7 linked regions of the Ovis aries genome follow. The protein of the gene in region 5 binds, or shares a complex with, the protein of the main gene of each other region. Links are inferred from orthologs where the notes say so. Each region holds a gene or a part of one and is shown on either strand. Other genes may lie near its edges.

Evidence for each region.
Region 1: PRPF3 (region 5) and PRPF8 share a complex: the UniProt entries of both Homo sapiens proteins name them as parts of the U4/U6-U5 tri-snRNP complex. The link is inferred for Ovis aries from reciprocal best matches to the Homo sapiens genes PRPF3 and PRPF8.
Region 2: PRPF3 (region 5) and LSM5 share a complex: the UniProt entries of both Homo sapiens proteins name them as parts of the precatalytic spliceosome. The link is inferred for Ovis aries from reciprocal best matches to the Homo sapiens genes PRPF3 and LSM5.
Region 3: PRPF3 (region 5) and SNRNP200 share a complex: the UniProt entries of both Homo sapiens proteins name them as parts of the U4/U6-U5 tri-snRNP complex. The link is inferred for Ovis aries from reciprocal best matches to the Homo sapiens genes PRPF3 and SNRNP200.
Region 4: PRPF3 (region 5) and SNRNP40 share a complex: the UniProt entries of both Homo sapiens proteins name them as parts of the U4/U6-U5 tri-snRNP complex. The link is inferred for Ovis aries from reciprocal best matches to the Homo sapiens genes PRPF3 and SNRNP40.
Region 6: PRPF3 (region 5) and PRPF4 share a complex: the UniProt entries of both Homo sapiens proteins name them as parts of the precatalytic spliceosome. The link is inferred for Ovis aries from reciprocal best matches to the Homo sapiens genes PRPF3 and PRPF4.
Region 7: PRPF3 (region 5) and LSM8 share a complex: the UniProt entries of both Homo sapiens proteins name them as parts of the precatalytic spliceosome. The link is inferred for Ovis aries from reciprocal best matches to the Homo sapiens genes PRPF3 and LSM8.

What each region holds. Positions count from the first base shown.
Region 1 is NC_056064.1:22,651,302-22,654,801, reverse strand, and holds part of PRPF8 (pre-mRNA-processing-splicing factor 8), read left to right. Parts: intron 1-102; coding exon 103-294; intron 295-913; coding exon 914-1,151; intron 1,152-1,287; coding exon 1,288-1,416; intron 1,417-2,319; coding exon 2,320-2,433; intron 2,434-2,520; coding exon 2,521-2,694; intron 2,695-2,941; coding exon 2,942-3,135; intron 3,136-3,500. UniProt on the Homo sapiens protein: Plays a role in pre-mRNA splicing as core component of precatalytic, catalytic and postcatalytic spliceosomal complexes, both of the predominant U2-type spliceosome and the minor U12-type spliceosome.
Region 2 is NC_056057.1:65,579,067-65,583,208, reverse strand, and holds the start of LSM5 (U6 snRNA-associated Sm-like protein LSm5), read right to left. Parts: upstream 2,801-4,142; 5' UTR 2,781-2,800; coding exon 2,735-2,780; intron 1,674-2,734; coding exon 1,578-1,673; intron 1,297-1,577; coding exon 1,269-1,296; intron 666-1,268; coding exon 593-665; intron 1-592. UniProt on the Homo sapiens protein: Plays a role in pre-mRNA splicing as component of the U4/U6-U5 tri-snRNP complex that is involved in spliceosome assembly, and as component of the precatalytic spliceosome (spliceosome B complex).
Region 3 is NC_056056.1:104,064,009-104,068,036, reverse strand, and holds the start of SNRNP200 (U5 small nuclear ribonucleoprotein 200 kDa helicase), read right to left. Parts: upstream 2,801-4,028; 5' UTR 2,671-2,800; coding exon 2,626-2,670; intron 2,102-2,625; coding exon 1,938-2,101; intron 416-1,937; coding exon 244-415; intron 1-243. UniProt on the Homo sapiens protein: Catalyzes the ATP-dependent unwinding of U4/U6 RNA duplices, an essential step in the assembly of a catalytically active spliceosome. Plays a role in pre-mRNA splicing as a core component of precatalytic, catalytic and postcatalytic spliceosomal complexes.
Region 4 is NC_056055.1:236,094,116-236,098,206, forward strand, and holds the start of SNRNP40 (U5 small nuclear ribonucleoprotein 40 kDa protein), read left to right. Parts: upstream 1-1,291; 5' UTR 1,292-1,321; coding exon 1,322-1,465; intron 1,466-4,091. UniProt on the Homo sapiens protein: Required for pre-mRNA splicing as component of the activated spliceosome. Component of the U5 small nuclear ribonucleoprotein (snRNP) complex and the U4/U6-U5 tri-snRNP complex, building blocks of the spliceosome.
Region 5 is NC_056054.1:100,400,259-100,403,758, reverse strand, and holds part of PRPF3 (U4/U6 small nuclear ribonucleoprotein Prp3), read right to left. Parts: intron 2,601-3,500; coding exon 2,517-2,600; intron 2,296-2,516; coding exon 2,075-2,295; intron 1,417-2,074; coding exon 1,110-1,416; intron 441-1,109; coding exon 274-440; intron 1-273. UniProt on the Homo sapiens protein: Plays a role in pre-mRNA splicing as component of the U4/U6-U5 tri-snRNP complex that is involved in spliceosome assembly, and as component of the precatalytic spliceosome (spliceosome B complex).
Region 6 is NC_056055.1:10,447,135-10,451,165, forward strand, and holds the start of PRPF4 (U4/U6 small nuclear ribonucleoprotein Prp4), read right to left. Parts: upstream 2,801-4,031; 5' UTR 2,717-2,800; coding exon 2,684-2,716; intron 1,948-2,683; coding exon of another isoform or gene 1,945-1,947; coding exon 1,767-1,944; intron 1-1,766. UniProt on the Homo sapiens protein: Plays a role in pre-mRNA splicing as component of the U4/U6-U5 tri-snRNP complex that is involved in spliceosome assembly, and as component of the precatalytic spliceosome (spliceosome B complex).
Region 7 is NC_056057.1:84,396,579-84,400,665, forward strand, and holds the start of LSM8 (LSM8 homolog, U6 small nuclear RNA associated), read left to right. Parts: upstream 1-1,287; 5' UTR 1,288-1,352; coding exon 1,353-1,383; intron 1,384-2,536; coding exon 2,537-2,577; intron 2,578-4,087. UniProt on the Homo sapiens protein: Plays a role in pre-mRNA splicing as component of the U4/U6-U5 tri-snRNP complex that is involved in spliceosome assembly, and as component of the precatalytic spliceosome (spliceosome B complex).

The sequences.
Region 1 (3,500 bases), on a different chromosome or scaffold from region 5:
AAGATGTAGACAGAGTGATTGAGAGTTCTTGGTGTTCTGGGGATATTGGTTGTACCAGTGTCTTCCTGGAAGCCTAGACTCCTGAGCCCTCTCCACTTTCAGGGATGTGATGGATAGCACCACCACTCAGAAGTATTGGATTGACATACAGTTGCGCTGGGGGGACTACGATTCCCATGACATCGAGCGTTATGCCCGGGCCAAGTTCTTGGACTACACCACAGACAACATGAGTATCTACCCTTCGCCCACTGGTGTGCTCATTGCCATTGACCTGGCATATAACCTGCATAGGTAAGTTGAGGCTCAAAAGCATGTATTTTTCATCAGCCCCATACTTTGTTTTAATTTTTAAAAATTACTTATTTTTAGTTGATGGATAATTGCTTTACAGCATTGTGTTAATCTCTGCCATTCATCAGCATGAATTGGTCACAGGTATATCATATGGCTCCTCCCTCTTGAATCTCTCTCCCACCCCATTAATTTTGAATTATAGTTGATTTACAGTGTTGTGTTAATGTCAGGTGCACAGCAAAGTGACTTAGTTATACCTGTATCAGTTTTTTTTTTCAGATTCCATATAGGTTATTACACAGTATTGAGTTGTCTGTGCTATACAGTAGTTCCTTGTTATTTATCTGTTTCATATACGGTAGTGTATATGTTATTATCAGCCTCCTAATTCGTCCCCCCACCCACCCCATACTTCAGTATGCATGTGCTTTTTGGTTTGCTAAGGTTTGCCGGTTTGCTCGTCTGGGTCACTGACTCTTTCTCGCCTCTGTGTAGATGATCAGACACTTTCATTTCAGCCTGGCAAACAGTCTTTTTTTCTCTGTAGTTGCATTTTGCCTTGTTCCTGGGAATTCTAGTCTGGTCTTAATCTTTCTTGCCTCTTTCCCCTTCACAGTGCCTATGGAAACTGGTTTCCTGGCAGCAAGCCTCTCATACAGCAGGCCATGGCCAAGATCATGAAGGCAAATCCTGCCTTGTATGTGTTACGTGAACGGATCCGTAAGGGGCTGCAGCTCTATTCATCTGAGCCCACTGAGCCCTATCTGTCCTCTCAGAACTACGGTGAGCTCTTCTCCAACCAGATTATCTGGTTTGTGGATGACACTAATGTCTACAGAGTGACTATCCATAAGGTGAGAGTTAGACGCATGTGGGGGTGTGGGGTTTTGTATATGCCTATGGGAGGGTGACTGGGCAAGTGTGTGCATACTGGAAGGAAAGCAGGCTGATTGTGTCTAGACTGTGCTAACTGATGTAATCATTCTTTAGACTTTTGAAGGGAACTTGACCACCAAACCCATCAATGGGGCCATCTTCATCTTCAACCCACGCACAGGGCAGCTGTTTCTCAAGATAATTCACACATCTGTGTGGGCTGGACAGAAGCGTTTGGGGCAGGTGAGCCTGTTAAAGGGTAGAGAGGCTATAGAACCATGCTGCCTCTTATTCTTTGGTATTGGGTGGATGTGTGAGAAAGAATCTCCCTATTTCTCTCTTTGCAACTTTGAGGGTATCTCATTTACACTTTTCCCCCTGAATTACTTAACTTGGGAAGTGTTCTTGTAAGAAGTCCAAGAATAATTGAGGTCCTTCATCACCCACTAACTGGGCTTTCTGCTTCGTGAGTTATCTGTGCTATACAGTAGTTCCTTGTTATTTATCTAGATCTTGTGTCTCTAACCTATCTTGAAGAGGGCTATGAAAAATCATCTTTCTAAAGGGAACATAGTCTTAAAATGTCGGTTTCACCAAGTCTCTTCTCTGCCTCAAAGCCTTTGGTGACCCTTACTTCTTGCTAAGGTAGCTCTGGTTTTCTAGGTGCTTGATGTCTAGGCAGGCTGTCATCTGTCCAGCCACGGTTTCTTGTCCTCTGCAGCATGCCCCTCTGGCAGTCAGTCCAGGATCCTGGTATCCCAGACCCTGGTGAACATCTCTGCCTCTGTGGCTTTGCTGGAATGAACTCTTCTTTTAGCTCTGTTAATCACTGTCTCGCTCAATCCTCAAGACTTCCTTCTTTGTGCAACTTTTTGTGACCTTTAGCCTTTATTTCTTTTGTCCCTGACATAGTGTGTATATAGTCAAACACTAGCTTGTGTGAGTTTCCTCTGGCCAGCTAGGTTGAAACATCCTTTGGGGCAAGACAATTGGACATTTTTTCTATAGCTCTTGAGTACCTAACGATTAGGAGCATACAGTAGAAACATAAGGTAAGGGTAAGTGTTTCAAGACTGGGATGTTCTGTTCTATCTGACCTGGGAGGGCAGAGACTCAGTTTCCCTGTCCTCCTTTCTTATTTATTAGTTGGCTAAATGGAAGACAGCTGAGGAGGTGGCTGCTCTGATCCGATCTCTGCCCGTGGAGGAGCAGCCCAAGCAGATCATTGTCACTAGGAAAGGCATGCTGGATCCACTGGAGGTGAGTGAGAGGTGGTGAATGAGTAGGAGGAAAGAGGGCTGAGACCTGCTGGCTCTGTTTCTAAACTTGGACTTGATCTTGTCTCAGGTGCACTTGCTGGACTTCCCCAATATTGTGATTAAAGGATCAGAGCTCCAGCTCCCCTTCCAGGCTTGCCTCAAGGTGGAGAAGTTTGGGGATCTCATCCTTAAAGCCACTGAGCCGCAGATGGTTCTCTTTAACCTCTATGACGACTGGCTCAAGACTATCTCATCTTACACGGTATGAAACCAGCTTGCTGGGAGCGTCACTCTGAGAAGAGTGGGTTTGGGATCACAAGAAAGTCCTGTGCCTTAGCTTTCTCACAGGCCTCTTGGGGGGGTTATTTTCACCTCATCCACCTGTGGATGAGCCAGTGCCCCTGTCTTTGGTGAGGGGGACCCCTTAGGGGTCAGTCTCCAAAGGGATGGGCTGGAGGAGAGGGAAGAGCGTCCAGTTGCTGACCCCACGCCACCACACCTCTCCGCAGGCCTTCTCCCGCCTCATCCTGATCCTGCGTGCCCTGCATGTGAACAACGACCGCGCGAAGGTGATCCTGAAGCCAGACAAGACCACGATCACAGAGCCGCACCACATCTGGCCCACTCTGACGGACGAGGAGTGGATCAAGGTGGAGGTGCAGCTCAAGGACCTTATCTTGGCTGACTATGGCAAGAAAAACAAGTGAGCAGGGGTGGGGGCTACAGAGGAGAGCCGCAGGGGGTGAAACAGGCGGCTCAGTGTATGGTTTCTGGGATTTTTGAAACATTTTAAGCCGAGACGATTCTCAAGAAATTGTCATGGGGATGCTTATAGGCAGTATCTTCTGATGGTACAGGAAGTGTCCGTGTCTCCGGGCTCAAGCTGACTCTTGGGCACTGTTCCTCAGCAGAGGAACTGTTGCCATTTTGAGCAGGGTGTTTCTTTACTGCCCATGCAGTCCAGGAAGTTCTCACATCCCAGACCCCTCAGTACCACCACTCATCACACACACACACACACACACACACACGGAGTTCTCACATCCCAGACCCCTCAGTACCACCACT
Region 2 (4,142 bases), on a different chromosome or scaffold from region 5:
AGGAGGAAAAAGTTTAAAACTTAGTACCACATGATCTAAAAACCCCTACTGAGAGCTCACTGACTGGTCATTGATCAGCCTTTGCCTCTCCCTCATATTCCCATTTTCCCCATGTCACCTCTGTTTACAATTCCAACAGTATCAATTAATACTTAGTGATTTAATGTTTCAACAGTTAATTCTTGGTAAAATAAATGATTAAAAAGCACAAGCAGGGACTTCACTGGTGGTGCAATGATTAAGACTCCATGCTCCCAATGCAGCGGGCCCAGGTTTGATCCTTGGTCAAGGAACTGGATCCCACATGTTGCAACTAAGTAAAGATCTTCTGTGATGCAACTAAGACCCAATGCAGCCAAATAAAAAAATAAATAAATATTTTAAAAATACATAAGATAAAAGGTATAAACAAACTAATCTTAGGCCTAATGTCATCTTCAACAGTTTGGCCACAGAATCCTGATCAGCAGAGCATTCCCTTCCCACCCTAAGCACCACTGGGCCAAGAACATTGAGTCAATCAAGTCAGTTCTGTAATCCCTGCCCCACAAAGATGGCTTAACATCTAAATAAAAGACCTTCACTGTCTTACCATTGTTATATTATTTCCATTTAGCAAAATTTGATCTAATTTAGTAATTCTTCTTCCTTCTGGTGTGATTTCACTAAACAAAAAGATTTTCAAAAAGTCAGGATAAAGAGTGATAATCAAAGCCAACATTCTGATCCACCAAAAGGTTAGTTACTATATATAAATGAACTGTACACTTTCCAGAGACAAGGTTATCCCCATGGTGATGTCAATTCTCCAAAGGCAAGAGAGTGGACTGACTGGCCTAAGACCCACATCCACTAGTGCAGATCTTCATCTAAAAAACTGAAACTTACCAAGGAGATCAAATATGAAATAAAATGTTTATATATATATATATACACATAAGTTTTAGAGTAACTAATTTAAAACATTAAATGTTTTTATTATAAGTTCCTTTATTTGATCTGAGCGCTAAGATCCCTGGCTGCTTTTAGTATCTTTTACCTTAAACCTTTGTCTCCACTAACTTCCTAGCAATTAGTGACAATTAAATTATGGTAATAATCCTCCAATCCAATTTTACTAACATCAGTAGGTAAACTTTCTCTCTTTAGAGTAATTCAAACAGGCAGTGTGCTCTCCTACATCCTTTTACTGACTCAACAGCACTAAAACTGCCTTAAATCAAACAGAGATTCCCCCTACCCATTCTTTAATTTTTAACACTACTCACAATTCAGTGACATCTTCCAATACCATATCTGAAATTTGGTGTTAAGAAAATAAACATACCAAATTAAATTTACTCTGGCTTATTTCTTTGTTCAGTTTTAATTATAACATTGAATACAATGGCTCAAATGCAAGCTGCGTGCAATTGGTAGGAACTTCATCTTTCAGTACCACAATCCCTTAAAACACTATCACAATTTCCAAAAAAATAAATTAAACTTTATTATAATAATCGGTAAGTACTGATAGTCTATAGTTCTTTTTTAAAAATCTGAAGAAAAATCCATACAACCACCTTTTAAAAGGATACTGACAAAGTCATCAAATCCCAGAAGTGTGCCAACAATCTCTTTATCACTCTTCATCACAATGTGAATTCTTGATCCTATACACTTGTCCACAAGCTCTGCAGATAAGGGCGGGAGAGAGAAGATTAGTTTGCCCATTCATAACATTAACAAATATTTGAATGCCTACTGACACTTGTTACATGCATATGGTGAAAAGATAAGCCAGGAAAAGTATTCACTCCAAAACTTTAGACCTTATGTTACATATCTCTGTTCAGTCATTCTATTAAAAGGACAGTTTTCCCTCCCTGTTATTCATTTAACCCTCCTTTGTAGCAATTTATCATGGTTGTAGTTTAATACTATTTTAGTTATCTGATTAACATATGAACGCCCCTCTTGACTCTAAGCTGAAAGAGAGCTGAGAGGTGGTTTTTACTCATCAGTGTATCCCCAGTGGACAATGCCTGAAATGTACTGGTCATTCAGAAGAATTTGTTCCAGGATGGAAAAAAACCTTTACAATAACTGCCACATCCACTAACCCGATAACCCTTCAAATATAAAATATTAAGGGGAAAAAAAAGGCAGAACTGTCTTCACCAGAGATTCCTCCTTGTCATTAAGTCTATGTCTGCCCTGTATCCTGTTTCCTACACTGGTTTGTATGCTATCTGAAGGTAATGGCCGTGATTTAAATTTGTTGAACAGTGCCCAATCACAGTGTCTAGTGCACAGATGGCGCGGTAACTGCTTGCTGAATAAATGAGTAACAAGAGCTAGTTTTCAGAGGCCTCTTTAAAGGCTCATTCCAGACCCAAGTGCCTCACTCAGAAACCAGCCAGACAGGATATAACCCGGGTAGTTTAAAAGCCCGGTTGCGGAATGGGCCTCTTACTATTATAAAGGCGAGCACCCAACAAAGAAGGTCAACGACACATTCACCAAGACTGAACCTTTCCGGTGAAGGTTTGGGGAGTCAAAAACCCCTGCCTCAAGAAGACTCCCCCACGCCAGAGAGACTTGTGCGGCCTCAGGCCGCCGAGACTTGGAGCCTAAAGGAGAGCTGCAGAGAAAGCTACGTTTTTCTAACACTCGGTCAGGGACTGCCTTGCTCTTCGGCCCCAACCCTAACTTTCAACTCCCCGCCCCGGCTCCCCAACAGGACAAAGATTACCTAGAGGAAGCAGCTGCGACGGGTTAGTGGTAGCGTTAGCCGCCATGGCTACGCCGGAAGTGGCCTGCCTCTATCGACGTCGGAACGGCGAGTTTGAAAGAGCGCGCTTCCGCTTTTTTCCGGCCCAGGCAGGCTCGACCAATCTGAGGCCGAGAGTGCGATTGAGGAGATCCAGCCACTTCTTTATCCTGCAGGGAGATTCTAGAAAGTGTTTCTGTTCACTGAGCGTTCTAGGTTCTCCACAGATAACTCGCCTCTCCAAACTTCCAAGAGACTTTAGAGATCTCCGGTCTTATAAATAAGTTATTTCTCTAATCCGGAAGCCTGCGAAACGGAAGCCTTTGTGCTGTCTTATTTCCCCTTATCGAGGTGTGTCTCATATCAACCCAGGATCTTTCTTCGACCAGAATCAATAAATTTGATTTTCCCGCCACCGATTCATTGTGTTGCAATTTTCGTTAAAAAAAAAAATCTACCGCTTCTTTTAAAAGTTTGATGATTTGAAAACCCACAACTAGCATTTTTAATAAAGTTTGTTGGGCGAGGGGGAAATTTTAAGTATGTTTTCTATTTTCTACTATCGTTTTCTTTTTCTATTTTTCTATTCTACTTTTTCAATTTTTTCCATTTCTATTGTTTTCTATCTTCTACTATCAGGAGTTGGTGATGGACAGGGAAGCCTGGTGTGCTGCAGTCCATGGGGTCGCAAAGAGTCGGACAAAACAGTGACAGAACTGAACTGTCCTTTTTAATCTTGTAATATCTAGGAGTCTGCTATACATTTTGTATACACTATTTCTTCCACAGTCCAACAGGCAACCACCAGATGTCATTCTATGTTAATAACATCACATTTAGGAAGCCTTGCTGCTTTTACGCATCTGTTTTGAAAAGAAAAAGCGAACAAATTTTTTGCGTTGGTCTATTTTATGTTTATATCTGAGGAGCTTAAAGCTAAAGAGTTTAAGCAGGAAAGGCCAGGAAGGACATCATTCATTCACACAATGGCTGCAAAGCACCAATCATTCATTCATCGAACAAATACTTTAGTTGAACATTGGCATTTTGCTCAGTATAACCAGCGTAAAGAACAGAACTACAACGTCTTCTGCCCTTATAGGAGCTAAAGGATAAATGGGGGAGAAAGACAACTAGCAAGCATTATGTACAAAGCACGTGGAATTTAATATGTAAAGCAAAAAGTGCTCTTTTAACTTCAGGGATCTTAGTCAATCGTCACATCATTCTTTGGCAAGACAAAGTAATGCCAAAAAAATTTGTTTTCCTATATCTATTCTTGTTTCATTTTCACCATACCATAATGTGAATAGGAACCAAATTCAAGGTATTGTTGCTACCTGATAGAGTTTAAAATTCAAGAAAATAAGCTTTAAGTCAATATCTTGCT
Region 3 (4,028 bases), on a different chromosome or scaffold from region 5:
CCTTTGCCGCACATCCCTCCAGCAAAATAAAAAATGAATATTAATAGCACCAGGTCAGAGTTAACAAGACTGAAAGAGAGAACACACAAAAAGTGCTACGTCACGTAAAGTGAACACCAGCCACTTCCGCATATTGGTATGGCCCACACAGGAAAAATCCACAAACAAGGTTCCTCTGGGGCCTCCTAGCTATGACTTCCTCCCTCTCCAAAAACGCGTGGCTCCACCCTCTGGCTGCCTTACCTGGTCCCCAAGGGCAGCCTGGATGAAACTCAGCAGCACTTCATAGGTCTCCCGGGTCTCCTTGGTCTTGGGCTTGTAGATGATGCCCACCATCTCGTCGATGCCCTCTGAGAGCAGAGTGTAACCCTTCATCTTGTTGATGTCGTGCCGGTCCTCATCACGCTTTCTTCGCCTAACAAACACACAGTATGACACTGAACAGGTAGAACCTTCCCTGTTAATGGTAAGACTAAGGCAAGCCCACGCTCCCCTTCTCAGCTGCATGATTCACAGGCAGTATTTAAAACCACAAATGTGTGCCTCAGCAAATGATGCCCATCGGGCCTCAGTCACTTGCGGCAGTATCTCTACGGGAACACGGTAAGAGCAAGGGAATCCCGTCATCCTCTCACTAGATGCACTGCATGCTGAGACATCCCCCCCGTTCATTTAAAAAGACAACCCTTTCTACTTTGTATCACAACATTATATGATCGGATTTGACTAGTTTTCATCCCTCAGACACATCTTCCTTTCCCTGCCAGAGAACTGAAGCTCCAAAGGAATCTACTGCCATTGATTCCTGGAAAAGAAGTCATACTCTGCAAAATGGAGGACCAATGATAAGTAACTCATCTCAAATATAACTGCTTTAATCAAAACTGGACCTATGAATTTTTGAGACTTCATCATGGGACAGATGATGATCAGGCTCAAAGGATAACCATGAGATAAAGTTCAATGATTCTTTAAAGTCTGGAAAAATATCCCCCTTCCCCAAGGTAAAAAACCAACTAAAAAGCAAAACAAAACACCAGCCTTTCACGCTCAAATGGTAGTTTATAACAACAAAAGAAAAAGCAGGCAACAGCAAGCCAAAGAAGTAGCGGAAAGTCAGTAATAGAAGGAAAGACTTACTCTGACAAGAGTTTACCAAGAGTCTTGAAAATACCATCAAGAAAATTAAGATCTCTCTATGGATGTTATGACCAACCTAGATAGTATATTCAAAAGCAGAGACATTACTTTGCCGACCAAGGTCCGTCTAGTCAAGGCTATGGTTTTTCCTGTGGTCATGTATGGATCTGAGAGTTGGACTGTGAAGGCTGAGCGCCGAAGAACTGATGCTTTTGAACTGTGGTGTTGGAGAAGACTCTTGAGAGTCCCTTGGACTGCAAGGAGATCCAACCAGTCCATCCTGCAGGAGATCAACCCTGGGATTTCCTTGGAAGGAATGATGCTAAAGCTGAAACTCCAGTACTTTGGGACCTCATGAGAAGAGTTGACTCAACGGAAAAGACTCTGATGCTGGGAGGGATTGGGGGCAGGAGGAGAAGGGAACAACCAAGGATGAGATGGCTGGATGGCATCACGGACTCGATGGAGGTGAGTCTGAGTGAACTCCAGGAGATGATGATGGACAGGGAGGCCTGGTGTGCTGCGATTCATGGGGTCGCAAAGAGTCGGACACAACTGAGCGGCTGATGGATGAGAAACACATGCTGGAAAAGGGTCTAAAAGCTGTTTTCCACTTCAGGTACACTTGTTAAGGCCAAAGAATCTTTCCATTCTTATGTTGTTACCTTCACTGAGTTGTCTTAATGCCACTGATGGCTCATCCTGCACCAAGCAATTCAGCAAAAGCACTGCTCAAATACCAAGGGAAAATGGATTCTGCATCTGAGGAAAAATCATTTTTTCCCTTTGATACTCACTTAGCTCTTCTTTCCTCTTGCATCTGTGGTTTGGTTCGTTGAGCCTTATCTCCCATCCGGGTGCCCTCCAGCTTCCCCACCAGGGACAGCACTTCTCCTGTGGGTTCATCCCGGCGGGTCCGGTCAATGAGAGAGCGATCAGCTTGGAGGACAAGATTCGAGTTCTGAAAAGACCACAATATTATTGAAGCTCTGAGGTAAGCAGGACTCAACTATATCACAGGGTTGCCAGCTGACAGCAAAGGAAGAATCTGAGCGACTAAGTGTCGATAATCACTAGTCGAAATAAAAAGATGTTTTCCTTGAGAAGCGCATCGTATGATCGCGCATGAGCAAAGGGCAAACAAATCAACATAACAATCACTGCTTCTAATACTGCTCGTAATAACTCCCACGTGGGAAAAGTGTCGGGCACGTTGGGGATGATACATGGAAGGGGGCGGGAAGAGCGCTGCCGGGACTGGGACAAACACTCCTCGCAGAGCTCTTGGCCCACGCCGGTAAGAGCTGAGCCCCAATCACCAGTGGGGTCATTCACATCGCCGTGTACCCCCACCTTCGCCAGGTTCTGACTTCTCCTCTGCTTTCGCGGTTCTCGCGTTTACCTTTAGACTGAAACCCCCTTCCTCAGCCTCCCGCTCCCTATCAGACTCCCCCGCCCGGAGCCCTCTGCCGAGCCCATACGCACCGCTTTGTACTCGTACTGCAGGCTACGGGCGGTTACATCCGCCATGGCCGCGGCTGCTCAAGAGTCTCAGAACTCCGCTCCCAGGACCACACGCTAACAAACGGTGCCGGAACGAAGCAGGCGGGACGCACTTCGGCCGAAAGAGAGAGAGCAAGATGGTTTCCCTTCCACTTCCGGGTCGGACGCCGGAAGTGCAGGCGGGAAATAGACCGGGCGCTTGCGCTCCGGTTTGGGACCGGCGAATCCTGGTACCCTCGAACGATGGTTCCGGAACCACGGCCCGTACTCTCCTGGGCTCTGGCCTGCGGCTCCCAAAGACTTCCCACATCAAGCGAAACGTACGCCTGCTTAGCACCCTATCCTGTCCCAAGTGCTTTTTTAACCCCTTCTTCCTCTGGTAACAGTCCTATGAGCTATGCAGGCTAATGAGCCGGATTTCTGGCTGAGGGAACTCGCACCTTGCAACAGACTGAACCGCGCGTGTGCGCGTGCGTGCGTATGTGTGTTATCTTCCTTTCGGTTTTTCCTCTGTATTAAACAATTGATAACAAAGCTCTGTTCCTCACCTACCCCCACCTAGAACCCATGCTTCCGCGACCTTCGTTCTGGGCACCCAGGCGACTCCCCTTTGCCCCTAAATGCCTGTCACGTTCTGCAGGAGGGCCCTTTCCAAGGCCCCGGGAACATCAGGGAAGGAAGTAGCTGCCCTCCCGCCGGGGCCAACTCGTCGAAGACAGTGACTTAATTTCTTCTCCAACAATGAAGCGCCCCGCACCCCCATCCCCCGCCATGGAGAGGGGCAAGAGGCACCTCTGCCCTCCTACCACTAGTCAACCAGTTCTACTCTGTAAAAAAGACCCTGATGCTGGGAAGGATTGAGGGCAGGAGGAGAAGGGTTAGCTACACAGGATGAGATGGTTCGACGGCATCACCAACTCAATGGACATGAGTGTGCGCAAACTCAGGGACATAGTGAAGTGTAAGGTCGGACCCCGGGGGCCGTGATGGGCCGCCCCTCCGCTCCCTCCTGTCAGCGAGAAGGTCCCTAACGCAACGATCCTCCCAGATCCCGGGGACCATGACAGCACACTTCGCTGGTTGCCGTGATGAGCCGCCCCTGTTCTTCCCGGCCGGCGGGGGAAGTCCCGAAGGGAGGGCGCCTCCCGGATCCCGGGGACCAATGACAGCACACCTCGCCGGCTAAAGCCGCCCCACCCCAGCCACGCAGAAGGACCTGTCAGCCCGCGACGCCTCGCCCTGGCGACCTATCCAAACCCCCATCCATCTAGCCTGACCATCCCTCGCAACTAGCGTACAAAAGCCACCCGCAGCACGGTCGGGCGCGGACTTCCTCGACCTGCCTCCTTCCGGTCCGGGAACCCCGCCCGGGAGCGCTTCGCCAT
Region 4 (4,091 bases), on a different chromosome or scaffold from region 5:
TCTGTCCTGGCCACAATGGCCTCTTTGTGCCTTTTACTCATTTTCCTCGCATTTGCCACAGGACTTCTGCACATGCTGTTCTAGATGGAACATTCTGCCTTCCTTGCTTCACCCAACTAATTATAATTCTTCCCTGAGGCTATCAGTTCAGGCATATTTTCCTTACAGAAGCCGTCCTGTTTATTCAGGCACTCATTAACACCAGGTACCTCTCCTAGGTAGCACACACTTCCATACTTCCCATTTCCTAGTGAGATCTGGTGAGCATCTATTTCCCCCCAACCCCAGACTTAAAGCTCTGAAGTCAGGGACCATGTTTGGTTCACAATGTCTGCCCAGTGCTCTGTATTATAAATATTAGTTGGACGACTGAGAAGAAGGCCTAGTTCACAGGTCTGAGTTCGAATTTCTCAACAAAACTGTACTCCGGAGGCCAAGAGTCGGACATTACCTTCATCTCTATCTTTCTGAGGAGGCGCTAGTAAAGGCTGCGGAATCATGGCAGTGACAAGTCCGCCTCTTCAGTCAGAGAGGACCCTGATGGAGGCTAGGAGATGGGCCTTTTCTCCCTGGGATCGCCTGGGCTAGGGCTCTGCACGGAAAACACTGTTGAAGAAGTCAGCCATCGAGGGCCCCAGGCTGAGCAGAGGCTCCCAAAACTCTGCTCCAGGCTAGAAAGGGAACCCAGGCTAGGTGCTAAGTCGCTTCAGTCGTGTCCGACTCTGCGACGCCATGGACTGTAGCCAGCCAGACTCCTCTGTCCGTGGGATTCTCCAGGCAAAAACACTGGAGTGGGTTGCCATGCACTTCCCCAGAGGATCTTCCCCACCCAGGGATCGAACCCGCGTTTCTTAGGCTTGGAACCCAGGCTACTACACACCAGAGCTAGGAACTCGGGGCCCCCTTTGCCCCTTGCAATCAAACCTGCATCTGAGAAGAGCCAGCCTCAGACCACTCCAGATCCCACAGCCACCCGCCCCTCGACCTTCCTTACACTTACTTGTTGTCTGCTTCTGGTCTTTCCCTCGCAGCATTGCGCGAAACACCAAAACCCAGTCAGTGAGCTTCCACCCACAAGACACAGCGCGCCTAGGCGGGACTCCAGCTCTATCCACCAATCCTGAATTCGTACTCTAGTGATGTCAGAAAGAACTGGCCAATAACAGGAAAGTTCTCAGGGGGCGGTGCTGAGAGGTATATTGGAAGTCGATTGGGTTCTATCGGCCGGAAGTTCTACGGGAAAGACTAAGTCCGAGCCAATCGTGAGGTACCTGAGGGGGTCGGCGCGGTCAGTGGCGGCCTGAGGATAGCGGCTGCCGCCATGATAGAACAGCAGAAGCGTAAGGGCCCAGAGTTGCCACTGGTCCCAGTGAAGCGGCAGCGACATGAATTACTGTTGGGAGCGGCAGGGTCGGGCCCTGGAGCCGGGCAGCAGCAGGCGGCGCCGGGAGCTTTGCTGCAAGCGGTGAGTATAAGGAGCAGGCGGCCTTCGGCCCTCAGCTCATCTTCCTCTCTCCTCAGCACCTGGTGATCCTGCGCGGCCCTTAACCCACACTCCCGGCCGGAGCGGGACTCTCTCTCCTAGGAGTTAAAGCAGAAAAACACGGTAAAAGCGGCGTACACCCGGCGATTCTCCCTGCGTTTCTCCATTTGACGCGCGTTTTCAGCGTCTTGACCGCCCTGTGAGGAGGTGTTAGAATTAAGAATTGAGGATCTTGAGCTAAAAACCGAGACCAGGGTTTTGACTTCTTAAATGTTCCAGGGATCCAGTATAGAATAAACGATAAATTTCAGAAAACTTGGAAGATTGGATGGATGAATGAATGAATGAATGAGGGAAGGGGGGAAATGAATGCCGCTGGCTCGTTTTGGGGACTTGGGAAACTTGCTTTTCCCGTTGTTTCTCTGCACTGGTATTAGTAATAACCAAAGAATAGTTACCATCCGTTGAGCCCTTGTGCTGTGTAAATGAAAACTGCATTAATCTCGGTAACTTCCCAAGAGTTAGGAAATATTATTATCCTAATTTGTAGACGGGAAAACAAAGTTATATAGTAAGTGATAGGACTTCCCTCATAGCTCAGCTGGTAAAGAGTCTCCCTGCAATGCAGGAGACCTGGGTTTGATTCCTGGGTCAGAAGATCCGTGGAGAAGGAAATGGCAACCCACTCCAGTATTCTTGCCTGGAGAAACCCATGGACAGAGGAGGCTGGTAGGCTATAGTCAGTGAGGTCGCAAGAGTCAGACATGACTTAGTGACTAAACCACCAGGAACAGCTTTTAAACTCAGAATCCATGCTCTTAACTACATTTCCTGTAAAACTGAGGTAGTGATCACACCTCTGCTTCTATCCTGTTAGGCTCAGCTGACAAAATATATGTCTTCCCGCCCCCCACAACTCCTCAACCAGCTGGTTAGCAAATGTTGACACCACCCTCAAACTATATCCAGACTCACTACCGCTTCTTCCACCTTCCAGCTTCTTTGGTGGCTCAGACAGTAAAGAGTCTGTCTGCAATGGGGGAGACCCAGGTTCAGTCCCTGGGTTGGGAAGATACCCTCGAGAAGGAAATGGCAACCCACTCCTTTTTTCTTGCCTGGGAAATCTCATGGACAGTGGAGCCTGGCGGGCTACAGTTGATGGGGGTCACAAAGAGTTGGACATGACTGAGTGAGTGACTAACACTTTCTACCACTTCCATCACTAGCTCCTGGTTTAAGCCATTAGGGCTTCCCTGTTGGCTCAGAGGTTAAAGCATCTGCCTGCCATGTGGGAGACTTGGGTTTGATCCCTGGGTCGGGAAGATCCCCTAGAGAAGGAAATGGTAACCCACTCCAGTATTCTTGCCTGGAGAATCCCATGGACAGAGAAGCCTGGTAGGCTATAGTCCAGGGGGTCGCAGAGTCGGACACGACTGAGTGACTTCACTTTTCCTTTTTTTTTTTGCGATTTCACTTTCACTTCACTTGTCTCATCTGGCACTATGGCTGTAGGATCCTACTGGAATTCCTGTTTCTGTTTATGGATGCTCAGTCTATTCCCAAACCAGTAGCCAGAGGAATCCTTCTAAACATAAGATCATATTACCCCCCGCTGAAAACTTGCCATGGTTTTTCACGTCAGTCAGAGTAAAACTGAAATCTTGGCAATCTTTTGCCCTCTTTCACTTGATCTCTCTGATCTACCAATTTTCCATTGCTCACCTTTCTCCAGTCACAGTGGCTTCCACGCTCCTGCTACAAAGTCTTTGCATTTGCTGTGCTCTCTACTGAAATACTCTTCTTCCAAGTGTCCACATGGTTTATACACTCAGCTCTTCCCAATCTCTGCTCAGATAACACTTTTCCACTTTCCTGACCAGCCCATTTTAAATTGCCATACCTTGTGCTCATCTACATTGCTGCTCTGTTTTTCTCCATAACACATGCCACCGTCTATATGTTTTACTTGTTTCTGCTCACCCTCCCTCTTTTCTGTCCTTCCCACTAGAACACAAGCTTCATTTTTTATTTTGTTCAGTACTGTTTCCTAAGTGCCTGGGACGGTACCTGACGCAGTATTTCCTGAGTAAATGAGTAAGCTGGAAACTAAGGAGATTTGCAGATTGTTAATAGTGTGCTTCTGTCTGGCAAGAATATCAGCCTGGGTTTCTTTGAATTGCCGCGACTGCAACTGGTCTTAATGTCCAAGACCATTATCAAAACTACTTTCTTCAATAACCTGTACCCTGCAGGGTTGTTGGAAGCATTCGTTCAATCATTCATTCATTAAACGAACTAGAGACTGGGAAACAGTGTCATGTTACACTGGTAAGGTTCCTGCACTACAGAGCCTTTCTCGTGGCAGAGCAGGGGAGACAAACTAAACAAATACATAAGAAACGTAATTTCAGATAGTGATAAGTTCTTTGAGGGAAAAAAGTAGTGTTGATCAAATGCAAAAGAGAGGTAGGGTGCTGCTTGGGCTTGAGTGTTCCAGGAACAACTTTCTGGAGAGAAAGCACTGGAAAGGAACCACACACAGAAAGATCTCGGGGAAGAGGCCTCCAGTCGGGGACAACAAAAGATCCTGAGGCAGAAGTAAGTTTAA
Region 5 (3,500 bases):
CATCTGTTATAAGTAGCAAAAGAAGGTAATTAAGAAAACAAATATGCTAAAAACACTAACAATGTATAACAAAGCAAGCAGAAAATATCTGTGTCCAATCCTCCTACACTGATTGACCCAAAAAACTAAAATCAACCCGTAGAACATGTTCTTTATGGAGCTTGTATATGGTTATCTATTTGGCTTAGATTTAAAATTTGTACTTAATGCATGAGTACCATCTTTCCCATTAAAACTCTAGCCTTATTAAAAGGTATTAATCAACAAACTCACAGGTCAAAGCCATTGGGAATGATGTAAGAGTCCCACCACTCAATTTCAGGGATGTCACCTTCCTTCAATTCCTTCTTAGGAGCAATGAGGGCCAGTCTAGTTGAAGTATGAATGCCTGTTTTTCGAGCAGCCTGTGAGATCTCTGCCTGCAGCTTCTCTAGTTGAGCCTAAAGACAAGGTAAGACAAGAAGATAAACTGGAATCACAGAAAATAGGGAAGCAGTAGAATCCCAAATCTTAAAACACTCCCTTGTTGAACTCTTTACATATAACACAACAAATTCAGATTTTCTGAAAGCTAAGAAAAAAGAGTTGTTCTGCTTTACTTTATTCATTACTTGGTTGATTTCCATATATTTGGCTCTCATCATCACCCCTCTATCCCAGTGCGTGCCTGCAGCAAATATGCAGAAATGGAATTCTATGGAAAACTTCTGAGAGGATGAAAACAAGAAGGTCAAAGTCATTGAATATATGGTCAATTAAACTATCCAGGAATGTGGACTGTCTGCAGCAAATGTTAATTGCAGGCTAGTTTTCCTCAGATGTCCTGAGGTTTCTGAACAGTTTCCCTCCACTGATTGTTGTATGTAGAGAATTTTCAAATTCAATTTCCTTTCTACCTAAGTAGAACGTAAGTAACTGAGAAACCAAATCACTAAAAATCAAGTATTCCAGGAATACAGTATTTTAAAAATTACTCATTGCTTTACTACTTATCTAATTGCCAAAAACATATAGAGAATTAAGTTGACAGTATTTCAGGATTATATACAGTTTCCTTTGTCACCTTCCTAACTTCTTCAAATTTCTAGATTTTATTCTAAGCCAGATACCTTTGTCCGTAATCGTTGGGCAATCTTTTCAAATTTGCCCTTGTCATGGAATTTAAAAGTGCGTCTCTGGCGCTGGGAAGGGGCAATAGAGACTCGTGGATCAAAAAAGGTATTAGATTCCATGTCTTCTGATGGCTTTTCTTTTAGCTGCTGCTTGAATTGTTCTCTCTTCACAGCCCGAATATTGGCCTTCAGAGTAGGCATTCTGTGTGTCAGCTCAATTTCCTTGCCTGTTGCATCTACAGTTCGACCTTGTTCATCAAGAATCAGTGGTGTAGGTTTAGTTTGATCTTTTAACTCCACCTTCCTGAAAAAAAGCCCAAAAGAGGAATAAATCCCATATAAAACAATAAGGCAGGCAAACAAACAGACAAAAAATAAAAACAAATCAAAACCCACAAAAGACAATTAGATTACAAAATTCTAAGGAATATGAACCCATCAATGAATAATAACATCTTGACTGAATATATGAAGCTGGACAGTTGAGTATGGAGTATAATCAGATGAAATGAACTTACAAATTACAATGGGAAGAAGTTAGAATCCTATCATTCTTTACTCCTGAATTCTTGAGTCAGGGAATGGCAAACCAATTGAGGTGCTAAAAATAAAGCCTATCACTTTTACCCAGTTGCAGAGAACGCTCAGATCTGGTCTCACTCAATGTGGTCTAATGGAAATAGCTCTTGAGTTAGGAACCAGGAGACCTGATCCTATTCCTAGCTCCAGTACTGGAGGAATAATCTTAATTTTAGTTTTACCATTCATAACAAGAAGCTAATTAAACTCTGCAACAAGGAAACCAAGAGAATAAATTCAATTGGTATTTACTGAACATATGTAAGAAATATGAAACTAAGAAATGATTTAAGTTCCTTGGAAGAAAAGGATCAGTAACACTCAAAGGTATTTATTGCTTCTCAAGCTTCAGAAAAAAAGAGTTCCATAAAATAGATACTCACGGGGGAGCAATGCCCATAGCATGGAGATTGGCCAGGCCCACCATGTTGGCATTGCCGATGAGACCTGGCTTCAGTGCCAGCTGGGCTTGGATGCGGGCTTGTAGTTCAGCTGCTTTCCTTGCCTTCTCAATGGCATCATTCATGAAAGTGGCGGCCTGAGAGGGCTGAATAGTGTTGCCAATTGGAAGTCGCTCTGGTTGGGAGGATGAAGGAGTCTTTGGCTGTGAGAGAGAAAAAGAAATCAGAATCAGAAAAAATTAACATAGGCAAACAGATCTCTCTCTTTTACACACACACAAACACACACACACGGAGCGGTGGACTGTGGTAAATTGAGGGTGGAACATGCAGTCATTTTCTGGACTCTCATTTGAGTGGGTGGCAAGAAATTTTGTGTTTAACAGTCTTCTTTTCAGAGAAACCTGAAAAGAGGTTACAATACCTGAGGTGTAGGGGGGCTAATGAAGCTCAGTTGCTTTTTCCTTTCCTCAATTTGCCGTGTTGCTGCTTCCATCATCTGTTTGATCTGCTCTCAGTGGAGTAAAAAGTTGAAAAACAGTTAACATCTCTTCTTTATTTCTCCCATACAGGTTCCTAAACTCAAAGGGCTTTTAGATCTAGAGAAACCAGTATTTTTTTGATGATCCCATTATATTCTGCCTGTACCATAGGCTAGCAAATTTAGTAAAGATAAGCTTACACAGTTAATCACTGGAATTTTTCAACCTATCTTCCCAAGGCAGGACTGGCATGTTAAGTAGTAACACAGCTTGATGAGTAAGACTCTGGAGTCAGGGAAACCTGAGTTTGAATCTTAACTCTGCCATTTAATGCCTGTGTGACCTTGAACATGGTATTTAATTCTTAAATCTCCAAGTGTTTAAAAGGAGTAAAAACAGATCTTACAGGGCAACTGTGAACATTTAAATAATGCATGCAACACTAATAGAATCCATAACATTATTTTTAAAAAAAACAAAAAACACTATTGGTCCCTGAGTTCCTAGTTTGGGTAACCAGAGTCCACAATGTAGACTTGCTTCCTAGTCTCCATCAATTCCTTCCTCTGTCCTAAGGAAATTCAGAAAAATAAGCTTTGAGAACATGATCCAGTAACTCTTCTTGAATTTTCCAAAAGAGTCTGCTGTCAAGGTGCTTCACGGTTATTTTTTTAAATTTATTTTTAACAATTTCTTAAATAGTGACATATTTACATAGTTTAAAACGCAAAAAGTATATTCTGAAAATATTTACTATTTATATGGTATCAGAATTTTTAAACAATGCCCATTTTAAATACACAGATAATTTCTATGAAAAACAATACCAAGTCAATCTGAAATTATTTAAGTGGATTAAGCTTTCTGCATTATATTATTTGGAAATTCTTCTCTGCCATCATGCTGAGTTCTACTTATTTCAATAA
Region 6 (4,031 bases), on a different chromosome or scaffold from region 5:
CTGCTGCTGCTAAGTTGCTTCAGTCGTGTCCAACTCTGTGCAACCCCATAGACGGCAGCCCGCCAGGCTACCCCATCCCTGGGATTCTCCAGGCAAGAACACTGGAGTGGATTGCCATTTCCTTCTCCAATGCATGACAGTGAAAAGTGAAAGTGAAGTCGCTCAGTTGTGTCCGACTCTTAGTGACCCCATGGACTGCAGCCTACCACGCTCCTCCGTCCGTGGGATTTTCCAGGCAAGAGTACTGGAGAGGGGTGCCATTGCCTTCTCCGCTGCATGCCTCTAGGGACAGTTAACTAATCTGTTAGAAACTTTAGTTTCTCAGTTTATTAAAGTATGCCAAACACAGAAAACTAAATGAGGTTTTAAAGGCCAGAAACTGGTTCAAGTCATCTTGTTTCATTTGGCAACTTACACTTACATAAACACACAGCCTTCATGAGACAATGAGAATATGGAGCACTTTTAACAAGTTATCTAGGCTTTCTATCCATGGCAAAATAGAAACATTATTTCAACAGTTGCCAAAGCTACTCTCTGAAATAGTCTCAGTATAGGAACACTAACAAATCTAACAGTGAACTGGAAATAATTACCATGAAAATGATAAAGCCTTAACTACAAGGCTTTTTGGATAATCTAGTAGCTAGTTTTAAAACTCACATAAAAAACAAGCATTTGGATGAGAAGTGAGAAGTACAAGGGTGATGCAGTCATGTTTAAAATAACATAAAAGGTTTAAAACTCATGAAAAGTGCACACGTATAGAAAAGAAAATGTGTGGGAGGGTCGATGAGAAACAACAGAAGTCCTATCTGCACAGAAGTCTTTTTATACCCTTCCATACTTTCTGAATTTCTTATGACAAACATGAATGATTTTATTTTTAAAATATAGTAGACTACTAGTTACTGGCATGAAAAAATACCCTCAACAGTGTGTGCATACTTACTGGCTTACTTGTTTCCAACTCTTTGAGAGCTGGTAGACTGTAGCCCACCAGACCCCTCTGTCCATGGGGTTTTCCATGCAAGAAATACTGCAGTAGGTTGCCATTTCCTCTTCCAGGGGATCTTCCCCACCCAGTGATCAAAGCCACCTTGTCTCCTGTGTCTTGCACTGCAGGTGAATTCTTTACCCACTGAGCCATCAGGAAAGCCCATTTAACAGTATCACAATGACAAACGCAGCTTACAAAACAATTGGTTTATCGTGATTTCATTTATGGGAAAAAAAAGTGTATTTTTATAGCTTTATTAAGTTCTTGAAATGACATAGCTCCAATTAATACAGATTACAGGTTTTTCTACTTCATATGTTTCTTTATTGTTTAATTGCTTTCAAAATAAAGATGGCTATCACTTTAAAATTTAGAAGAGATAATTTCATTTTGGGTGAAAAACAGTTGAAAAACTAAAAAGAGGAGAATATTAGGAAACACAGTAGCTCCAAGCTAACGCCAGAACTACACTAGATCTCCAGAAGACAAAGGAAATCACTCTGAATTCAAATACACACTGAATAAATAAATTCCTAGTAAAATTACTAACAGTTTACTGAAGGAAAACTGTATAAAAGGTTTTAAGAAAAAGGTTCTTTGGATGATAAGACCAAGTCAGGTAGGTGGAGAATATGGACTTTGATAGGTGCAAGCTTATTAGTTGTAGTTTCTTGACATAAACTAGTGATATTTAAGATGAAGAAGGTAATCATTACAGAAAATTTGAGCACCAAAGGTAAAGATGAACTCACAATTTGAATCTTACCAGAGGTTATGTTAATGTTTCCTGCTTCAATTCCTGCTTTGAGTCCTTCTTTTCCCAAAAGCCCAGATTCTCCTTTGGCCAGACGCTCCCTCTCCTTCTCTTCCAAACTTCCATAATAGATGTGTGGTTTCTTCACAACAGGAGCCACTAAGTCATCTGGTGCCTTAGTTTTGGTTGCCTGCTAAAACAAAGACCTAGGTTAACCTAAAGCTTAATCTTAGCAGCCTAATAGGTTTCGCAGCAGAATGAAGCTTATTTAGAGCTTCAAACCTATTTCTTCCCCACACAAAGGACAAACCAGACACCAGTTAAAATGTGTCTTCCTTAATCTGGGGGTGGAGGGAAAGAGTGGTTCCAGTCTCTTAATCACTTAAGTTTTGTAGATAGGAAGAGATGGATAAAACTAGTCAATTTCTCGTGCTGATTTTTCTGTCAAAGGTTTTCTCTTGAATATGTGTATTTCATACGGCTGCAGCAGGTGAAATCTCTTCTTGGCTTTTATGAAATTTCCACAATTACTGCTCATCACAGGGGTATCAAGGATAACTGAAATAACCAACGCGATGGTACGGGGGCCAAGTTAGAAAGCTACTGTTCATACATTTCAAACGTTTCGGATATGAAGCAGTAGATAAGTTAGGAGGCCTCGTTACAATTAAGAGTTCTGAAAGTGTCATAAATCTTGGCCAAGACTCTACTCCCTTTCAGAGCTCCGTTTCTGAACCAGACGGAAGAGATATTTACATTTCGGGGCTGGAGTGAGAGGTGAAAACGAGCTAAAACAGATGGAAGCACCCAAGAATTAGGAAAACACCGAAGCCTTCCTCCTCGGCCCTCCACCGCCGTAGCCCGTTCCCTAATGGCCCTGTTTCGCAGGGACCCCCCCACCCCCTCAGCGCTCCCTGCCAGAATGAGACCTGTACCGTGGAGGAGGGTCGTGAGGAAGCCATGCTGGGCTCCGGGGACGCGAAGCCTCAGCGAAAGCCGCGCTCTACGTTTCAGACCGTCCACCGCGCGCCCAGCAAAGCGGAACTACGTCACCAACCGGAAGTGGTCCTAGGTCCGACGCAGCATCCTGGGAGGCGTGGAGCATTATGGGAATCGTAGTAGGAGGGAGTCTGGGCGAGTTGAGAGATGTGATCTGTAGAGCCTCAGAGAGAAGCACGCGGAGGCCAAGGTTCTGCGAAGAGAGAAACTCAGAGGCAGTGTGGGAAGTGTAGTCCAGTTGGCTTAGCGGATGATTCGGGGTGGGCGCCGAGGTTCCGGAAAGGGACTGAACAGGCCTGAAAAGAGGTAGGTGCGGGGAATCGCGCGGCTGCGAACTGAACTCAGGGAGCGAATCGAGGGATTCCGGGGCCTACTATCGGCTCCCGGCCCGGCCAGGGGCTCTAAGTCCTCCTGGCGCCAAGGCCTATGTTGCCATGGAAACTCTCGCCCTGGACCCTTGAGTGCAGCCCAGGAGCTGCGGCGGGAGTGCTGTTCTCCTCCACTGTCAGGAAGTTCTCTTGGCAGTTTCTTCTGGGCTGGGTAGGTTTTCGGTGAATTTGGGCAGTGGTGAAACAATAAGTTCAAAGAGCCCTCTAGCGCCGAAGTGAAATAAAGACCAGGCGGAGGAGCCACGCCCCGCTTTTGCTGTCTTCAGCAGGTCTTTCTGTCTTATTCCGAGAGAGATGATGAATGTGAGGCGTCAGGTAAACTGCAAGCAAGCAACTTGCACGACTCTGCTGCCCTGGGTGCTGGGGCATCAGAGGCGGACAAGACAAGATTCTTGCCCCCTTGTAGGGCGTGAAAGTGAAAGTGAAGTCGCTCAGTCGTGTCCAACTCTTTGCAACCCCATGGGTTCTCCATCCATGGGATTTTCCAGGCAAGGGTACCGGAGTGGATTGCCATTTCCTTCTCCTTGTAGGGGGTGGAGATGCTCAAAATATTGATGTTTCCAGAGCTGGAAAGAGCCCCCTCCTCTCCCCTAGGCCTCTTTCCGATAATAATGCCTATTTACTGTGAAAAATTCTGAAAGAGATGGGAATACTAGACCACCTGACCTGCCTCCTGAGAAATCTGTATGCAAGTCAAGAAGCAATAGTTAGAACTGGACATGGAACAACAGACTGGTTCCAAATCAGGAAAGGCATAGTAAAGGCAATATATTGTCACTCTGCTTATTTAACTTATTAGATGCAGAGTACATCATGCAAAATGCCAGGCTGGATGAAGCACAAGTTGGAATCAAGATTGCCGGGAGAAATATCAATCACCTCAGATATG
Region 7 (4,087 bases), on a different chromosome or scaffold from region 5:
CGGAGTTCACTCAAACTCACGTCCATCGAGTCGGTGATGCCATCCAGCCATCTCATCCTCTGTCGTCCCCTTTTCCTCCTGCCCCCAATCCCTCCCAGCATCAGTCTTTTCCAATGAGCGTCTGCCTGCTGCTGCTGCTGCTGCTGCTAAGTCGCTTCAGTCGTGTCCAACTCTGTGCGACCCCATAAACAGCAGCCCACCAGGCCGGGGTTCTCCAGGCAAGAACACTGGAGTGGGTTGCCATTTCCTTCTCCAATGCATGAAAGTAAAAAGTGAAAGTGAAGTCGCTCAGTCGTGTCCGACTCTTAGCGACCCCATGGACTGCAGCCCACCAGGCTCCTCCGTCCGTGGGAGTTTCCAGCAAGAGTACTGGAGTGGGTTGCCATTGCCTTCTCCAGAGCGTCTGCCTACAATGTGGGAAACCCGGTTTTGATCCCTGGGTCCGGAAGACCCTTTGGAGAAGGAAACGGCAACCCATTTCAGAACTCTTGCCTGGAAAATCCCATGGACGGAGAAGCGTGGTAGGCTACAGTCCACGGGGTCGCAAAGACTCTGACACGGCAGAGTGACAAAATGAATGAGTGACAACGCCGCCGCGATGCACCATTTAAAAATTTTTTTTAACAACAAAAACATTTGTATTGGGGTATAGCCCATTCACAATAACAATGGTTGATAGTTGCGGGTGAACACGATGCAGCACTTTTAGAAGCAAATGCAAACTGCGAACATGCTTTTAACTACTGACTTCTCCAGATATGTATACCATACGGTACAACTGTGGAACTTTGTCCGGGGTCGTTTAGCTTCTAAAACGTTAATTTTCGGCCTCTGCAGTACAAAATTAGGGATTCCACATCCGGGCGTCTACACTTCATACCAGAACAGCACTAGTCTCTACTTCACTTGTGGGGAAAAAAACACACACAACAAAAACCTTATTCGGTTTTCTCCTGCCTTCCCCATCTTCTCTCAACATTTCCCCTTAGTAACTTCTGCCACTAAAGCCTTCCATTCCGCTATGAAGCGCGCTCGCCCACCTTCTCCCCATCTTCAGGGAGCTTCTTTCTTTCTTTCTCCCACCGCCCGTTCTCTTTGGTTCTTTCCGGCTTCCAATATCACCCGCAAGAGCAGAAACATACTGCACACGCGCATTAAGGCCGTCGTCGCTTTGCATCTCGGGAATGCTTGGCCGGTTTCTTTCAGTCTCTGATTCGCGGAGGCCGCCCTGCGGTAGTTCTCGCGGTATTTGCTGCCGCCAGTCGGCGAGAGAGGCTGCTGTTCCCTGGCGGTCCTTTCTAGCTCATCTGGACGCCGGGGCTCTTGTGTTTCCAGTTGCCAGGTCGCGTATCATGACGTCCGCCTTGGAGAACTACATCAACCGTACCCTTCAGTCGGCTATCGCGGGCATTAGCTAAGGCCTTGGTGAGGCCCACGTCTGGCCCCGGAGTGGACCAGTGCTGGAAAGGCCAGGGGTCGGGATCGGCGGGCGGTTGGGGCACCGAGCCACTGACGGGCTTGGGTCTCGGGGTGGGGATACAGAGGTTAAGGAGGCTCACCCCTGGGACTGGAGCCCGCAGCTCCTGCTGGTCCAAGGCGTCTTAACTTGATGGAAAAGCCGAGCAAAACCGACAAGATTATTCTGAACTTTTCCGTGTCTCTATAGAAATCAGTTATTGATTCACCCTTTCCATTTCCCTCGGGCCTATACGTTCACGTTTGGGAATAAGATAGTTTTACCAGCTGCGACGGTGGACTCACAAATCTATGTGTTTGTTTTATTCATAGGCTTTGCTCAGTCTTCAAGGATAGCAGAAACTTTACAGATGATGCAAAAATCGAATGTCTGCCCCTTTACCAGCTGAAATCTCAACTTTATTGTTGATGGAATTAAAATAATGCTTGCTGTTGTAATAGATCGGCTTGTGGGGCAAATAGCTTTAAAAAGCTCCTGTAATAGTACTCTATGCACCATTTTAAAGTCTCGGGACAGAAACATTACGTTGTGCTCTCATGTACAAATTTGGGACAAAAGTGGAATGCTAAAGGTTTTTCTTTTTAAATGATGCAAGCATATTGATACTTGTGATATTGATTATAGTTTCTTTTGAATTCCAGAAGGCAGGTCCTAGAAGACAGTGTCTTAACGTATTAAATCATTTGACATTGAATAGCACTCATCCAATTTTCGTTTCAGAGATGATGAAACAGGTTTAAAAAAAGGAAAAATATCTTGCTCAATTTTCATATTTGCAATATTCCCTCATTAAAAATGAGTACCAAACATCCCAGCTTGTTTTAAGATAGAATACACTGATCTCATAAAAAGGATGTTTTCTATTTTTCCTTTTTTAGATTGTGTAGTTGTCACAGAGAATTAAGAACATACAATTTTATGTTGTAAATGTGGCTGTGTTAAATAGTTGTATCTTAATTCTGTCACCTTTTTTCCTAGTAATTTAAGCCATTTACTTACCAGATTTTAAGTTTTCAGTTTGCATTCCCTTAGAAATGCTTTCCTTGATTCAGTTATCAGGAACTGTTGCTGTCATTACTTCTGATGGGAGAATGATTGTGGTAAGTATTTGGTGTATTCATTCTCTGCTTTCTTTTAGGCTTTTCTGCCTGTGATGCTCAGTTGTCCCAGACTCTTTGTGACCTCCTGAAGTGTAGCCTGCCAGGCTCCTCTGTCCATGAACTTTTCCAGGCAAGAATACTGGAGTGGGTTGCCATTTCCTGCTGCAGAGGATTGTCCCAACTCAGAGATCAAACCCGGATCTCCTGCGTCTCTTGCATTGGCAGGTGGATTCTTTGCTGCAGTGCTACTTGGGAAGCCCACTCTTGAAGGCTTACTGGTTGTAAATTTTTATGTACAACCTCTGATCTCCAGTGCCTAGGCACCAGAGTACACCTGCATTGCAGTTTTCTTATGATTCAACTCTTTATCTCTTTGATAAATAGCTGCCAATCCGTTTTTTTTTTTGTTTTTTTCATTAATAAACATTGGCTGTAAGTTACATACAAGGCTTCTTCTAGAAGCTTGGATGAATAACAGAATCTGCCCTTAGAGAACTTCTGGTCTAGTCTGCAGATATTTGTCTATATTTTGTATTTATCTTGCTTCATCTTTTATTTCCTTCCTCATTTAGTGCTCTGACATCTACTACATGAATCATACAGGTTGTTTTTTTTTTTTTTTTTTTAAATGTGTGTGTGTGCTTTTTGGAAACTTTTAAAAAAGATTTAGATACTACCTCTATATAATGAACATTTAAGACATGTACATTGTTAATCTTCAGATATTCTTAGGTTGTAGAATCTCGTGCTTCTGTAGAATAAATTATGATGAATATTGAAGTGTATTTCATCTCATTTTTCCTTTTATCGCTGTATCCCATTTTAATTCCAGAAAAGTCTTGGATTCTCTCCTTGATCTGAGGAATTTATTCCATGATTTTTGGTGGCTTAATTTCATTTATAATTCATGATTGTTAACTTTCAAAAAAGTTTTAAGGCTGCTAAACTTTATTGTCTTCTATAATTCATAGAATTTGTTCTTCTATCTTCCTACTCTGCAACTGATGTTTTTTTCTTTTTAATCCTTGGGGTTTTTCTCAGTGGGTCCTTAAGTGGCAATTACCAAGTGTCAGACTTTGCCATTTATTAAACATGTGTCATGTACCAGGCATGTCCCGTGTGTTACATCACTTAATCCTAGTACAACTCTGTGAGGAAGAACTAGCCCTGCATTCTAAGCTAAGAACCTGGATCAGAAAAAGAGTCACTTTCCCAGAGTCATATGAATGTATGTGGCAGAGCCAAACTGGGATTTAAACTAAATTTGACTCCAAAGCCTAAGGCCAGTCGCCTTGCTTCCTTTTTAATCAAGAGAGCAGTCATGGTTTTGTTTATTTTTTTAAGGTACTTCACATTGTATTTTGTCAAATTAAGAGAGTTTGAAATATTTTAATCTCATCTTAACTTTGAGAAGTTATAGCTATTAAGAAATATTTGCAAATAGTTTTTTAGTTTGTGGAAACCTTGGGTTTAAAATTTTTTTTTAATGGTATAGATGATAAATTGGAAA